Macaca fascicularis: one gene and its partner. Each later gene encodes a partner of the first gene's protein in a complex. Links are inferred from orthologs where the notes say so. Each region holds a gene or a part of one and is shown on either strand. Other genes may lie near its edges.

Region 1 (3,519 bases):
CCTTCTGAGTAGCTGGGATTACAAGCATCCACCACTATGCCTGGCTAATTTTGTATTTTTAGTAGAGACAGGGTTTTACCACACTGGCCAGGCTGGTCTCGAACCCCTAACTTCAAGTGATCCATCTGCCTTAGCCTCCCAAAATGCTGTGATTACAGGTGTGAGCCACTGCGTCCAGCCAGCATTACTTTTTTCAAGGGTTAAGAACATGTCTTTGGGCCGGGCGTGGTGGCTCACGCCTGTAATCCCAGCACTTTGGGAGGCCGAGGCGGGCGGATCACAAGGTCAGGAGATCGAGACCATCCTGGCTAACACTGTGAAACCCCGTCTCTACTAAAAATGCAAAAAATTAGCCGGGCGAGGCGGCGGGCGCCTGTAGTCCCAGCTACTCGGGAGGCTGAGGCAGGAGAATGGCGTGAACCCGGGAGGCGGAGCTTGCAGTGAGCCGAGATCGTGCCACTGCACTCCAGCCTGGGCGGCAGAGCGAGACTCTGTCTCAAAAAAAAAAAAAAAAAAAAAAAAGAACATGTCTTTGAATATCTTGATAACTTGCTTGAATGAATTGTCGTATAAAGTTTTGCACATAGTTGTTGATCGACTGCTAAGTAAGAGGACGCTCATACCGCAAACTCTCAGTACTTGCTCCAAAGAACTTCACAGCAAAAGATCTGCAATGTGCTAAGTAATTAATGATTTTATATTTATCCTACAACTTGCTGCTTCTCAAATGTCTAACTAGATCTCTAAACTCATGCCTAGAGGATTAATTTAATGAGTAAAATCAAAGGCAACTGAAAATAACAGTTGGCTGGGCACAGTGGCTCACCCCTGTAATCCCAACAGTTTGGAAGGCAGGAGGGAGTATCGCTTGAGCCCAACAGTTCCAGACTGGCCTGGGCAACATGGCAAAACTCTGTTTCTACAAAAAACTTGAAAAACTAGCCGGGTGTGGTGGTGCATGCCTGTGGTTCCAGCTACTCCAAAGGCTGAGGTGGGAATATTACTTGAGTCTGCAAGGCCAAGGCTGCGGTGAGCTGTGATTGTGCCACTGCACTCTGGTCTGGGCAACAGAGTGAGATTCTATCTCCAAAAAAAAAAAAGCGAAAAGAAAGAAAATTACAGTTTAGGAATATAATCCAATGAGTAAGAAGAGCTTTCAAATATACCTTCTATTTAAGATAAAATGAATTTTTATCCTGTTTTATTTAAAAGCTAGAGAGAAGTCAGGCGTGATGGCTCATGTCTATAATCCCAACATTTTGGGAGGTAGAGGCAGCAGTATTGCTTGAGCCCAGGAGTTCAAGACCAGCCTGGGCAACATAGTGAGATTTCATGTCTATAGAAAATACAAAAATTAGCTGGGGCTGGTGATATGCACCTGTGGTTCCAGCTACTCAAAGGCTGAAGTAGGAGGATACTTGAGCCCAGGAGGTTGAGGCTGCCATGAGTTGTGACCATGCTACTGCACTCCAGCCTGGGTGACAGAGTGAGACTCCATCTCAAATAGATAAATAAATAACAGAAGCTAACAAGCAAAAGTCTAATTCACTTGTAAGACTAATATAAAGTGCTACCACATTAAAAAGACCTCTCGCTGGGCACGGTAGCTCACTCCTGTAATCCCAGTGTTTTGGGAGGCTGAGGCAGGAGGACTGCTTTGAGAAAAAATATACAATTTTAAAACTAGTTTTTGTTTCCTTGTTTAAGAATCAGGGACTTTTCAGACTGTACAGAAAGGAGGGAAGCAGGTCTTCCCTTGGGAGGATGACTAAAAGGCCAGTGGAGGAAAGTTGTCAGCCCATTGTCAGGTCAGCATCAGGCCTTTACCAAGCCTGTTGGCACTAAAAAGTAACAGATCAAGTACTCAAAATGTGAAATATATTTATTTTGAATTTAGAAATTCAAACAACAGTGATACTATTGTATCACATCAGTTATTCAAAAAAATGTGAAATCTCCCAAAAAATAAATAAATAAATAAAGAACTTTTAAATCTCCAAGACAGTTTTCAGTTTTATTTGAATTAATCTCCAGTGGAAAATACTGAGGAACAGATCTAAATGACTTAGGGAAAAATAAGTCATAACAGGAAAAATAACATACTAAAACAAATTCAAAATTTTGCTCAATGCTTTGCATTTTTTCCTTATAACAAATATCACCAAATTTTATTTCTGCTCTAAAAATATTAAAAACAAACCAAAAACCTCAGTGTTCTTCCTCATATGTCCACTTCTCAAAGGCTTACAACTTCTCTAACAGTAAGGAAACAAAAAAAGGGACTAATTATTAATTTCTCAATTGCAGGAGACTTTGTTAGGCAAACAGTAAATTGTTAGAGAAGATGGTAAATCAAATGTAGTTTCCAAGAGAGATTATTTTTCTCATGTGTCACAAACTCTACTGAACCTTTCAGGATAACTAGAAAGAACTGTAACACAGAAGAATATGTCTAATGCAAGAGAAAAGATAGAAAAAAGAAATTAAGCTGGGTGTGGTGGCTTACACCTGCAATCCCAGCACTTCGAGAGGCCAAGGCAGGCAGATTACTTGAGCACAGGCATTTGAGAGTATCCTGGGCAACACGGTGAGACCCCATCTCTCCAAAAGATAAAAGAAAATTAGTTGGGCATGGTGGCATACACCTATAGTCTCAGCTACCTGGGAGGCTACAGTGGGAGGATCACCGGAGCCCTGGAGTTTGAGGCTGCAGTGAGCCAAGACTGTGCCACTGCACTTCAGCCTGGGTGACAGTGAGACACTGTCTTAAATTTTTTTTAATGTTAAAAATAGATAAATAAAAAAAATTAAACACTTCTCAAAAGTCGCTAGAGGGCACAATTTAGTTGTTAAGGAAATGTCAAGTTTTCCATTGTGGCTTCAAGTTTTTAAGTAACAACAACTTGAAAACCTAACAAAATATACTGGAAAAAAGTTATTTTATCTTCCTTCCCAGCTATATCCGCAAAATAAAAGAAAAAGCAAACAATAAGGAGATGCAGTTGACAAGTTAGTCATCTGTAACTCACCTTCAGGAAACATAAAATGTATTTCTCTTTCCGCAGCAGCAAAGTCATTACTCCCATGAAGTGCATTCCTTAGGTCATCTGTGCCATAAATTGCCCTTAGACTAAAAACAAGTTAGAGATGATGTTCATCCAGTCTGACATCTATTCCTTACTTTATATGCATGCATTCCACTTAAGAATTTTACAAAAGCATTGCCACTTCTTACATATGAAAGCTTCACAATTTATGTCAAATTTAAGCTTAAATTTAAGCTTATCTATCTAGATAAGGATCAAATATATTCACGTCTGCAGGAGGAATACACTGGGAAAACAGGAGTTCTCTGGATAAAAACGTGGTGTTGTTTTGTAAGAAGTAAAAAAGCAATGCACATTCAAAAGTGCAAGAACTCAATATCTTATTTCCATACATTAGCAATAATGCTGAAAATTTGAATTTCTGTTCCTGTATTACCATTATTATTTTAACATACCATCCCAATTTTTCCAT
Region 2 (3,519 bases), on another chromosome or scaffold:
ACATCTCCTTTTTTCATTAACAAAGATTGTCAATAACATTGGTTTATATGCAAATATGTGAATACAGAGTGAAAATCAGGCTAAAGGGATCCTTAATGTGCCTTGGGTGGGGACTGGGCTGACTTGTGGCTTTCCTGGATTCCATGTTGGGATGTGTGCGGCCACCCAAAGCTGAGTCCTTCTCCCTACCTTGTGACACTTTTCACAGTTCTGTTGAATCTGATACTCTTCCTGTTTCAGCATTTCTGTCATTTCCATTTCCTTGAGGCTACTGTCATATTCCTCCTGCAGCTGGATCTTCTCTTCCCTATTCTGGGGTGAGGTGACAGAGTCGAATCAGGTCAGCACCCAGGGAAGCCTTATAAATGGGGCCCCCTCACTGGAGACTGATCTGGGCTGTGGGCCTTTTGGGCCTGTTGAGTTTCCTCCTGTAACTAGCTTTAGCCTGCTAGTAGTTACAAACCCTTCAACTCCACAGCTCCTCTGAGTTGAAGCCCCACTCCTCTCAGCCCCCAGGATCCCCATGCTTCAGGGATATCTAGATCTAAGAGCAAGTCAAATTAACCAAGAAATTCCCCAGGCCAGCTCCAGAATCCTGCCTTGTGTCTTGGCTTTCAAATTACTCTAGGAAAGCTGGGCCCTCCCTAAGTCGCAGTGCCCATACACACCTTTTCTTTTGCTTTCGCTGTTTTCTCATAATGATAAAGCCAGTGAGCCAGGTATTCTATTGGGTCACTGGGCCGAACCTTCGCCACCTCTGCCAGTGCCTGGGCCAGGCAATTTCCAAAGCACCTCTTTAGGTAGTTAGTTTCCATCCTGGCAGCCTGGAAAACAAAGACGCGTTATTTTATTAACTTAGTCTGATATTAAAAATAGACACATTCTAACCAATTCAGATTTATTTCAGGATAAATATGAGATGTTTCTGGATCACACCCTTCCCAAAAGAACCAATGAACACTTACTTGCTCTTATATTCAAATGGACTTTTTCTAAAGTTCTCCAGCTGCACTAGGTCAGACAGTGTGGGTCCTAGGGTTTACCAGGTTTGCGAGGAGGTTGGTACTTTGGTGGTAAGGGTGGCTAAGGCCTCCCCTTACCCACACATTTTTGCTCTTGAGTAGAGAAAATTTAAAGGAGCAGGCAGGAGGTCCTGGGGAGGGGCTCTGAGCACCCAGCAGGCTGTGCTATTGTGAGGTAGGAGGCTACAGTCATCTATGACATAGATAAGATAGGCTCATTTATTTCACAAGGGACCACGGAAAGGCACTGGGGAGAAGAGAGAGGGAAAATGTTGGTGCTACAGCTACTGCTTGTCAGGAGCTCTGCCAGCACCTGATATAATGCTCCATTCTGTATTACTTAGGGATTTACTATTCATCATATTTCAAGAGCTGGAGGCAATGTAGCCCAAACTTAGGAGCAGCAGGGAATTGTGGCAGTAGGAATGCACATTCTGGAATAAGACAGACCAAGTTCCAGTCCTGATTCTGCCACTTATTAGCTGTGTGATCTTTAGCAAGTCACTCAGTCTCTCTCAGCCTCAGTTTTCTCATCTGTAAAATAAAAGTAACAAAAGTATGTAGCTCACAATAATTAGATTAGAGGTGATAATAAACACACACCAGGCACTTAGCCAGGCACAGAGTAACTGCTTATTACACTATTCAGTGGAGGATTGTGCCATGAAATGACCTAGGACCTGGCCTCCTCCTGACGGATTCCACATTCTTGAAGTTGACACATTTGAATTCCAAAAGAGTCCGGTGAATAATAAAAGCTTAGATCTAGCCTTAACATTTTCTGGAGGCATTTTTCAATTTTCCCCCCTACTCCCCATTTTCTAGCTTAAGGAAGGAAAAACAGATAGATATCCATATCTATCTTACGCATATCTATCTTATGGATAGAGAAAAAAATATTTCCTAGCTCTCTCCACTACAAGGGCCTTGAAACCAAAACACTTCAGTAGCAATGAGCACACTGAGCATATAAACCTTGCTTGTAAATAGCCTTCGTCACTTAAGAGGAATCAGGGTGGCCGGGCACGGTGGCTCAAGCCTGTAATCCCAGCACTTTGGGAGGCCGAGGCGGGTGGATCACGAGGTCAGGAGATCGAGACTATCCTGGCTAACATGGTGAAACCCCGTCTCTACTAAAAATAAAAAAAAAAAAAAACTAGCCGGGCGTGGTGGCGGGCGCCTGTAGTCTCAGCTACTTGGGAGGCTGAGGCGGGAGAATGGCGTGAACCCGGGAGGCGGAGCTTGCAGTGAGCCGAGATCACGCCACTGCACTCCAGCCTGGGAGACACAGCGAGACTCCGTCTCAAAAAAAAAAAAAAAAAAAAAAAAAAAAAAAGAGGAATCAGGGCTCCTTGGAGAAATGGCTGATTCCAAGGCTGGGGCAGGACAAGTCTAATGGGCCTGGAACATTTGGTTTTGCCAGAAAGTAAGAAAATTCTGAAAAATACAATGGGTGGGGACAGAGAAGCCAGCTTGAAGGGGCTCCTACTAGTCAAATCTGGGGCAGTTTAACCATTAAAATAAATAGTGACTGTAATGGATTATAAATTACAGAATAAAATAAGACTCCATGAGTCCATATGAGAATATATACATAGATTAAGAAGGGAGAAGGCAAAGTTCTTGTTAAAGTAGAATGCCAACTAATAAATGTGGGGAAAATAATGGAGTTTTAAAAAACTGCCATTTCCTCACCACCATAGTATAATTGAATCAAAGCAGAATCATCAATGAGTCAATGAGTGCTAAACCTGGGTGAACATTTGACAAGGAATAAGATATATGCATAGTCTCAAAGTTTCTTCTCACAAATTAAGTATTAATTCCAAAGGAAATACAGAAATTTTACAGTGGCAAAACCTGGCCAACAAAACCTTAACCAAGTAATCACAGTAAATATCACCAATAAAGGAACAAAGTGACATCAAGTGCCTCCTGATGGGATGTACTTCTTATGGTACATAAAACATTTCCATGGATTCCTGTCTAAAATGCAGTATTTGAATGTAATTGAAGAAACAGCAAATAAATCCAAAGCAACTACCCTGTACTCTTAAAAATGTTGAGGTTATGAAAAAAAAAAAGAGTAATTGTTATAGATCAAAGGAGACTGAACAGCTATAATAACTACATGTAACACATGATCCTAGATTGGGCCTGGGCAGGAAAAAATAATTCAGCTGGGCATGGTGGTGCATGCCTGTAAACCCAGCACTTTGGGAGGCTGAGGCAGGAGGATCACTTGAGCTCAGGGGTTTGAGACCAGCCTGGGCAACATGGCAAAACCATGTTGCCCATGCTTTTGTATTCCACAAAAAATACAAAAATTAGCCAGGTGGGATGGCACACACCTGTAGTCCCAGCTACTTGGCGGCAGGGGGTGGGGAGGTGCACGGGGTCTTACGGTGGGAGGATCACTTGAGCCCAGGAGGTTGTGGCTGCAATGAGTTGAGATCTCACCACTGCACTCCAACCTGGGTGACAGAGTGAGACCCTG

The links. The genes of interacting proteins can lie anywhere in the genome.
Region 2: the proteins of NME5 (region 1) and DYDC2 are in contact, whole or in part, in a cryo-EM structure (PDB 8X2U), measured with the Mus musculus proteins. The link is inferred for Macaca fascicularis from reciprocal best matches to the Homo sapiens genes NME5 and DYDC2. Residues at the interface, in NP_542368.2 of Mus musculus: Arg140, Ala145, Val146, Ile147, Ile151, Pro152, Ala156, Ala157, Tyr160, Ile161, Tyr164, Val165, Thr168, Leu169, Leu173, Leu176, Cys177, Lys180, Pro181, Asp183, Pro184, Tyr185, Leu186, Leu188, Ala189, Asp190, Leu192, Met193, Asn196, Pro197; in NP_001347537.1 of Mus musculus: Asp2, Tyr5, Leu6, Cys9, Phe10, Gly13, Leu14, Leu18, Val21, Ala22, Arg23, Val24, Arg25, Pro26, Asp28, Pro29, Ile30, Glu31, Leu33, Ala34, His35, Leu37, Tyr38, Tyr40, Arg41.

Annotation. Positions count from the first base shown.
Region 1 is NC_088380.1:144,614,493-144,618,011, forward strand, and holds part of NME5 (nucleoside diphosphate kinase homolog 5), read right to left. Parts: intron 3,131-3,519; coding exon 3,030-3,130; intron 1-3,029. UniProt on the Homo sapiens protein: Functions as part of axonemal radial spoke complexes that play an important part in the motility of sperm and cilia. Does not seem to have nucleoside diphosphate kinase (NDPK) activity.
Region 2 is NC_088383.1:66,445,447-66,448,965, forward strand, and holds part of DYDC2 (DPY30 domain-containing protein 2), read right to left. Parts: intron 1,557-3,519; exon of another isoform or gene 1,473-1,556; intron 825-1,472; 5' UTR 816-824; coding exon 669-815; intron 313-668; coding exon 190-312; intron 1-189.